Callithrix jacchus: one gene and its partner. The protein of the gene in region 2 binds, or shares a complex with, the protein of the main gene of each other region. Links are inferred from orthologs where the notes say so. Each region holds a gene or a part of one and is shown on either strand. Other genes may lie near its edges. The genes, in order: PRKAG1 and PRKAA2.

What was found.
Region 1: the proteins of PRKAA2 (region 2) and PRKAG1 are in contact, whole or in part, in a crystal structure (PDB 6B1U), measured with the Homo sapiens proteins. The link is inferred for Callithrix jacchus from reciprocal best matches to the Homo sapiens genes PRKAA2 and PRKAG1. Residues at the interface, in NP_006243.2 of Homo sapiens: Asp329, Asn330, Ile333, Met334, Ala337, Phe340, Tyr341, Leu342, His366, Pro367, Glu368, Arg369, Met370, Pro371, Pro372, Leu373, Ile374, Asn444, Val446, Thr447, Pro530, Arg531, Leu532, Gly533, Ser534, His535, Thr536, Met537, Asp538, Glu541; in NP_002724.1 of Homo sapiens: His36, Asp40, Leu41, Ile42, Pro43, Thr44, Ser45, Val50, Phe62, Leu64, Val65, Thr66, Gly68, Val69, Arg70, Trp75, Ser77, Lys78, Lys79, Gln80, Phe82, Pro158, Glu159, Ser160, Gly161, Asn162, Lys170, Arg171, Lys174, Phe175.

The regions. Positions count from the first base shown.
Region 1 is NC_133510.1:70,538,721-70,543,031, reverse strand, and holds the start of PRKAG1 (5'-AMP-activated protein kinase subunit gamma-1), read right to left. Parts: upstream 2,869-4,311; 5' UTR 2,803-2,868; coding exon 2,794-2,802; intron 2,743-2,793; exon of another isoform or gene 2,315-2,742; intron 1-2,314. UniProt on the Homo sapiens protein: AMP/ATP-binding subunit of AMP-activated protein kinase (AMPK), an energy sensor protein kinase that plays a key role in regulating cellular energy metabolism.
Region 2 is NC_133508.1:93,723,964-93,728,371, reverse strand, and holds the start of PRKAA2 (5'-AMP-activated protein kinase catalytic subunit alpha-2), read right to left. Parts: upstream 2,822-4,408; 5' UTR 2,761-2,821; coding exon 2,667-2,760; intron 1-2,666. UniProt on the Homo sapiens protein: Catalytic subunit of AMP-activated protein kinase (AMPK), an energy sensor protein kinase that plays a key role in regulating cellular energy metabolism.

The DNA of each region.
Region 1 (4,311 bases), on a different chromosome or scaffold from region 2:
ACACCACCAAGCCAAGCTACTTTTTGTATTTTTTTTGTAGAGATGGGGTCTCACTATGTTGACCAGGTTGGTCTTGAACTCCTGGGCTCAAGCAATCCGCCCACCTTGGCCTCCCAAAGTTCTGGGATTACAGGCATGAGCCACTGTGCCTGGTCTCCTTTCTAGTCCTTTTTTTTTTTTTCACTGACCATCCTTTCTACTTCTAATAACACAGGGGACCAGACAAATTACCACTGTACTATGTAAGTACAAAATATTAGAGAGACACATGCTACATATGACAAACAGACTCAACAGTTTCTTCCAAACTTCTGATCTACATTTGCAATTATTTGTTTGATAACCACAGATATCACAGAGATTCCTCAAATGCTTCAATATGAAACATTTGTCCCTCTAATCCTATTATTCTCAGTGTGGTTCCCATCTATGTTTTGCACAGCTGTCTTCTTAACATGTATCAGCTAAGCTGGTATGTTAGAAATGCCTCAGATCCATCTCTCATTGCCAACTTCACACCCTTAATTTAGGCTCTTACCTCTCACTTCGGCAACACTGTTTAAACTGGTGTCCTTGCCCCAAAACTATCTGTTCTTCACTTTATCTTTCATGCTTTCACCACATTTGCTCACCAAAGCATCTCAGGTTTGGAAGGTTACTTTCATCTCCAGTAACAAGAAACTTTACTTTCTGAAATAGCTCAGTCCATGTACAGAAAGCTGCTATGAACATTCCTAAAGGACATTCACTAACTTGCTTATAAATCTTCCATAGGTCCCCTATTACAAAACAAAGTTCAATTTTAGCATGGTATGTAATACTTTCAACCTGATCTTAGCCTTCTTTTCCAGTCTTTTCTCCCACTGTGACCAAAATCCAAATCCAGCAACATCAAACCACTGGTTCATTCCTTATTCTCCATATACCCCAATTTCAGTGCCCTTGTTCATACTGTTCTCTCAATTTGTAGTGCTCTCTCCCAGGTCCAAAGTAATTTTTCTCTCAACTATGCTGTCACAGTCCTTTGTCTGCATATTGATGATAGCATTTATTATAGTGTACCTTTAAATAACAGCTATTGCTGGCTGCCCTCAGGCTGAGCATTTTCAAAAGTTGTTGTTGTTTTGGAGACAAGGTCTCACTATGTCACTGAGGCTAGAGTGCAGTGGCATGATCTCAGCTCACTGCAGCCTCCATCTTCCTGGATCAAGATATCCTCCCACCTCAGCCTCCCAAATAGCTGGGGCTACAGGCACACACCACCACCACCATGCCTGAGTAATTTTTGTATTTTTGTTTTTGTCCAGACAGGATTTCATCACTGGTGTAGAACTCCTGAGCTCAGGCATGGTGATTTGGATTACAGGTGTGAGCCACCACACCTGGCCAAGTTTTCTTTTTCTTCTTTTTAATTTCCATCCCAGAACCTAATCCACTACATAAAATGTGAAGGCTAGATTTTCTAAAATCTATGTAAAAATGTTTTGTAAACCATAATACATTTATAAGTAGGTAGACTATGTTATTTTAAATTTAATGAAATTAGACTCCTTATTTTTGTTCAAGATTATCTTAATTAGTCATAAGTGGCTCCCTTGCCTGGCAGACCAACTGCGAATCATTTTACTACTTTGGTCGGTTTTCTCTTTGAAAACCTGAAAGAAACAACCTCTCTATAGGCAGGGAAAGGGTGTGGCAAAGAATTACTCTGGGCATGTCCCAGAATAATTCTTATGAATCACTTATGAATTAGTTATGAAAGTGAACCTGCCGGGCGCGGTGGCTCACGCCTGTTAATCCCAGCACTTTGGGAGGCCGAGGCGGGCAGATCACAAGGTCAAGAGATCGAGACCATCCTGGTCAACGTGGTGAAACCCCATCTCTACTAAAAATACAAAAAATTAGCTAGGCATGGTAGCACGTGCCTGTAATCCTAGCTACTTAGGAGGATGAGGCAGGAGAATTGCCTGAACCCAGGAGGTGGAAGTTGCGAGCCAAGATCACGCCATTACACTCCAGCCTGGGTAACAACAGTGAAATTCCGTCTCAAAAAAAAAAAAGAAAGAAAAAGAAAAAGACTCCTGAGAGTGAGGGTGGGTGCAAACATGTAGCAGACAACCCGCAGCATCTGTGGGAGGGTGACAGGGCCCTGCCACAATTGGTCAATGCCAGCTCGCCAAGAATGAGCTATGCCAAAACTCCCGCTTAGAGTCGCTGAGCGGGTCATGACCTAAACTTATCCAAGGGACACAGTGGCCTCTAACACTGCAAGATTTCCTCTTTCAAGCAAACTCCAATTCTCGGTCTTATTAAGGAAATGTGACTTCACTGGATGCATTACAAAGATCTTCAGATGTCCTTCTGCCAGTCAGACCACGGAGGTCCAGTAGCTACCTTCAAGCGGAGATCCCTCTGGACGTCCCCTGCCTCACCCAGAAAAGCTGGATCACAGCCCTGCCCTCTCAAGCAAACCTCTGAAAGGTCTTGAGGTGCTAAGAGGAAAGGAGGCCCGAGATTGCCACGGCATACGTGGGCTCGCTCCAAGGAGGGAGCCAGGAGTCACCGCCTGCTCGGGCTAAGAGTACCGCGTACGGAAAGGCGGCGGGGGCGCGGCCCAGTCCTAGGAGATGCGCTCAACGAAGAAGTGGAGGGACAGGGTCACGGGATAGGGCAGACACCCGGTTGCTTCTTGTTTGCTAGACTCCAGTGCCAGCCCCTGCCCGGCCCCCCCGGTCTCCTAACAGGGGGTCTTAGGCTCCACAGCGCCCCCGACCGCCCTCCGGCACTCCTCACCGTCTCCATTGCAAGAGGCGCCGGCTTGGTTCTCGCTTTAGGAAGCTCTCTTGGGGCAGGCCCCGCCCCACATCCGGTGCGGCAAGGCCACATCCGTCCACGTCACGGCAGTCGCCAGACTAGGGCGGAAGACGGAGAACCCACCCTTCCGGCGGTGGCTGGCCTCGGTAACCGCCCTCCCCCGGTCCTCGCAGACCGCACGTATCCCGCTGATGGCAAGGGTCATGGGACGGACTCGCTTGTATTTAAAATGTTCTTTTTTTATTTGTTGTTTAAAAACAAACTTGGAAGAAGCAAAATCCAAAACTTGCCCTTTGCCTCTCGCAACATAAATTATGTACAGTTCAGAATGATCGCTGATACAAAACATGCCAAGGACAGGGGCGCTGAGGGTGGAGGGAGAGAGGGCGCTTTAAAAAAGGGAACCATTTCATCCGTTGTTACGAAGGACCAACCTTGCTGTACAGGATACACACAACACAAAATAAAGTTTTCACGGGATTCACACTTGTCAGCGATTTATTTTTTAAAAAGGGGGGAGGGTCCTGGAGGTGAGGGGAGAAGACTGTAAAGGGGAAAACTGAAAATTGAGTATGTGCGAGTGTAAACCAACCCAAAATACAAACATGGGGGGGTGGAGGATTTTGATGCAATTATACAGGCAGGGTACTTAAAAAAAACCGACAACCAAAATTCCAACCTTGTAGCTTGGGTCTGAGTTATAGTTTATATAAAAATTAAAAACTGTATAAGGTTTCTTCACTAAATTCTACAGGACTATCGGATACCTAGCATATGCTTACAAAGTCTGCCCCATCCCCTTTTCCCAATCCCAGGGCCCAAGCCCCAGAGCCTGACTCACAGGAGCCAATCTCCCCATCCCTGTAGCCTAGACCTTCTGCTCTCGGAAAAGGAACATCCAAGGGCTGTGGCTTTGAGGGGAGCAGCCCAGTCTCCCTATTGTCTGATTTAATTACAGCGGTTCCTGTGGGAGTGGGGGGTGTTATTCTCTTAAACATTTGCAGCTTGAAACAGTTGAGGAAGCAGCTTAAATAAAAAAAATCTCCCTACCCCCAACAATCCACAACCCCTCAAATTCAAAACAAAACAAAAACAAACCTAAAATCACAACAGCGACCAAGCTCCCCCTCCAGCAGGCCCGCCCGTCCACCACCACCACCAAGCCCACCCCTACACTCCAGACATCTGATTCTTGAAAATATTAATTACAAAATGCCCTTTGCCCACAGCCCCTAGAAGATAACTGCATATAAGCTTCATCTTCATCCCCATGGTTCCCTACCAGAGAGGGGTTTGGGGCCTCACCCACCCCTTACCTACCCCCACCCGCAGGAAGAGGTTCAACTGCAGCACTAGCTTGGGCAGAAAGGGGAAGGAAAGGGAGGCAGGGAACCCATCACCCTCTGGCTCCCCCTGGGGTCAGCTCTCTTTTGTGCGTTATAACATAGTCCAACTATACAACAGGGGGTGGGAATCGCCCAGCCTCTATACCCCCAT
Region 2 (4,408 bases):
TCTATAATGATAGTTGCAATATTTTGTAAAATTCATAAAAATCATTGAATTGTACACTTAGAATGGATGAATTTCATATGTAAAATATACCTAAATAAAGCTGCTTTCTGGGTGGTTTTTTTTTTTTTTTTTTGACACAGAGTCTTGCTCTGTCACCCAGCCTGGAGTACAGTGGCACAATCTTGGCTCAGTGCAACTTCTGCCTACCAGGTTCAAGCGATCCTCCTGCCTTGGCCTCATCAGTAGCTGGGATTACAGGCACCTGCCACTGCATCCAGCTAATTTTTGTATTTTTAGCAGAGAGGATTTCACCATGTGCTGGTCTCAAACTCCTGACCTCAAGTGATCCACCTGCCTCGGCCTCCCAAAGTGCTGAAATTAAGAGGCATGAGCCACTGTGCCTGGGCAATAAAGTTGTTTTCTAAAAAAAAAAAAAAAAAAAAAAAACATGGCTTTTTGTTTCACCTGTCCCTTGAAGAATTAAATGAGTAACTGTAGACTGTAGCAGTTTCTGTAATTTTTATTAAACAATTGTACTGATCCTAATCTTGGACAGGAAGCCACAGTATCACTTTTGAGAGGATCTGGCACAGTGTTACGAAAACTCCTTCAACTGGTTGTTCACTGGACAGAGGTTCTCCAGGAAAAGGATTTCTCATAAAGTTCCTTCTGTTCATTGATATCTTAAGAAGCTGGTGCTTGGAGACAGCTCAAAAGTATACACAAGAGATTTGTCTGACAATGGGCTGACTGATCTGGTGGGTATTCTACTCTACCTTCATATTACAAAATAAGAACTTAAAAAGACCAGCAAAAAGTTTTAACACAATTTTAAAGGACATAGGGTTAAGTGATATAACTTTGAGAGTGTACCTGTCCAAATGTCAAAGGCATTGTTTGCTTGAGCAACTGCATAATGTTGTAACACAATAGTCCTTAGTAATGATACTAAATGACAAATAACATTACAGGCATTAATCCAATCCCTGGATTGTCCTGTATTCATCCTAAACACCTTCTAAGTGTCCACTCGACTTATAAGGTCTTTCAAAAATAACCCAGGACTTCATAACACTCACAGGATGGCAAATAATTTTGCAAACTTTTTACTTCTTTGCAAAAATACCACCTTGTCTGACCACCTTATTGAAAACTGCCAACCTCACAACACTCCCTACCTTCCCTTCCCTGATTCTTTTTTCTCAATAAAACTAAACACACCTTTTACATGTATTCTGATTACTGTCTTCCCCTACTAGAATGTAAGTTCCACGAAAAGATCTGCTTTTTTCTTTGCTGTATCCTCATTGCCTAGAACAGTGCCTACCAAGTTGCAGGTGCTCTTGAACAAATGAATGGGCATTAAATATGAGCAAGAAAACAGGAGCTGATCTTTACCACAGGAATGAACAATGAGTCTCTTCTACTTACTCAACAGCCTTGACTTGGTATTAAAACATGAATTTTACAAGGAAACAGAGACCTCAGAATACAACTTCCAGACTGCCTACCCAGCATTTCTTCAGCAAAGAGAGAGTAAAAAAAAAAAGCCAATGTTTCACTTATAATTCTGGATTTGCAACAGAGTATTTTTAATATACTGTCTCTATTCTGGAGAGAGGACAGGTTAACTAAATCCCATGTGACTAATTAACGGGAAAAAAAAAACAAATGAAAGTTCAACACTTAACTATCCTTTTTACTAATTACTTAACTCTCGTAAAGTATAACATTTCAAAGACAGCCTGTTTTTCTACACCCAAAACGAGATCCTATCTTCATGAAGACAGACCTTAGCAGAATGACCTCCTCAGCCTCCAATCCGCCAAACACCAAGGAACCTTATCCCAGAAGTCTTCCCCATAGCCATTTTACAAACACAACTACCTTCAGACCTCTTTCTAATTAACCTGTGATTCAATCCAGCTGCATTCCAGCGTTTAACACCACCCCGGAAAAACTCACAACCACTGGCCCTGGAGCATCCCCTAAGCAGTCACCCCCGCCAACCGAGAGCCCTGGAACAAGAAGGAAACTGGGGATGGCAGGGACCTCCCAGCAAGACCAGAATTGGAGGACATCTTAGACTTCACCCTGGCACTGCCCATTTCTGTGTGACCTTGGGCATGTTACTACACCTCTAGGGGTCCTAGTTTTCCCACCATTAGGGTGAGGACAACATGCTGACCAAGTCACTATAAAGATACAATGACATCCCATACAAAGCACTTAACAGGGCACCAGGTACGAAGCGGCGCCTCAGTCCTCAGCAGCACGGGTGATCCCCGGCCCTCCACCTACGGTCTCCGAGCTGGGAGGCGCCTCGCGGACCCAGCTCTGAGAGGACAAGTGGACACCGAGGTCCAGAGAAGACAGAAGTGCCTCGCTCCGACCTCCAGAAAGGCAGATGGGCGCGGGACCTGGAACCCAGGACGCCCGTCCTCAGCCCACACCCCCGCCCTCTTCTCCGGATTCTGCCGGGCCCGGACGCCCGTCCCGGGCGAGGCGGTGCGCGCCGCCCTCCCGGGGCCCCAGCTCCGCGCGGTTGGGGCCGCTCCACCTGCCGCCGAGCCCCGCGCCCGCCCGCGGCCCGGGGCTCCCGCCGCTCCACCCGGCCTCCCGCGAGCCTCGCAACACCGCGCGGCGGGCCAGAGCGCGTACTCAACTCTTCACTTTGCCGAAGGTGCCGACGCCTAGCGTGTCGCCCAGCACGTAGTGTCCGATCTTCACCCGCCCGTCGTGCTTCTGCTTCTCAGCCATCTTCGGCGCGCGCGGCCTCACTCCGCCGCCTGCCGCTCCGCGCCGCCGCCGCCGCCTACCCACAGTGCAGCGGGCCCTGCGGGGGGGGTGGGAGGACGGGCCCGCGCGCCCAGAGCCGCGAGGGGCGCGGGGCGGGCGCGAGGTCCCGGGAGGGGGCGCTGGGCTAGCCAGGCCCAGGTGGGAAGCGCCCGGCGAGTGGCCGGCGGGGCGGGGCCGAGAGGGAGCGCGGTGCGCCTGCGGCGGAGCCGGAGACTGCGACAGCGGGGGTCGGCTACGTGGGGCGCTGGGCTGGAGTGCGGGAGGGGCCGCGCCAGGTGCGCGGGGTCCGAGTGAGGGGAAGAAGCGGCAGGTGCTGCGAGGGGGTGGGCCGGGGCCGGGAGGGAGGCCGGGAGCCCTTTTTGAGGAAAACCGAAGGGAGTGAAAATGGGGGGGTGGGCGGGTAACACTGGGGCCCGATCCCAGGGAATGGAAAGACGTGGAAGTCGAACTGGAAGAAGAGAGACGGGCCTTGGGTGTGGGGAGCGAGGGGCTGGAAAAGAAAAAAGGCGGGAGGGGAGGCGGCGGGAAGGGCCCTGGTCAAAGGGCAGGAAGCTCCTCCAGTCTCGTCTGCGGCTTTTGGATACAGGTCGCGGCGCAGGGAGAATGCACACAGCTCTGTGCTCTCTTGAATTGCACTCCTGTACTTACTCTGCAATTCCCAATTATTTTGTCCTGTAGAAGAAAGAGACCCTCTCCTCCAGAGCTCTCAATTTTAACTAATTTGCCCACAGTTTTCCAAAAAACCTCAGTCACGGTATTTGCTCTAGTGTATTTTAGCATATGCTTATATACATATGTAGTTTTACCACACGCTTACATAAACATATAGTACCGAAATGTGGTAGCTGCATGTGAGGGAAATGGGAAAGGCCTGGAAAGGTAAACAATATTCTGCCCCCAGAAAGTAAAATACGTGAGTGACATTGGAATTGTGAAGGGCGAGGGCAATACAAGGTCACATATTAAAGGAAGAATAAATGTGATATAGAAGTGAAAAGAATGATAAGAGGAAATTAGAAGCATGACGCCTAGGCACACGTGTGTTAAGAGACTGACCTCCCCCCTCCCCCAAAAAAGAAAAGCCTGGCAAGGAATTTGGTAATAAAGTGATTATCTCTGCCTCACTTCCTTCTTTCCTACCCTTCCTTCCCTCCCTTCCTTCCTTCCTTTAATGTTGTTGTCCGTTCTTTAATGTTGTTCTTTCAGTGATTAAAGTTTCTTCGCTTCTCACCACATACACAAAACGATTAGTATATAATATGTGTGTTAATTAGCTTGACTTACAGCCATTCCACAATATATGTATTTCAAAACATATACATACTAAATATTTTTATTTGCCAATGAAATAAAAACTTTAAAACAAATATTGCTATTTGGGGATAAGTAATTAAGGATTAGTCAAACATTTATAGCATTGCATGCCAATAGAGTTTCAAGGTCACATTCCTCAAACATGAAGTCTGTTGAACACTGTTTTTATGTAAATTAAAATGTATTGATCAAAAAGAATAGGACGCAACAAAAATTTGATTTCTGAGAAGTGCTAAATATAGAAATTTCAAACATTCTCATCTAGACATCAAGACAATCTCATGAGAGATGATCC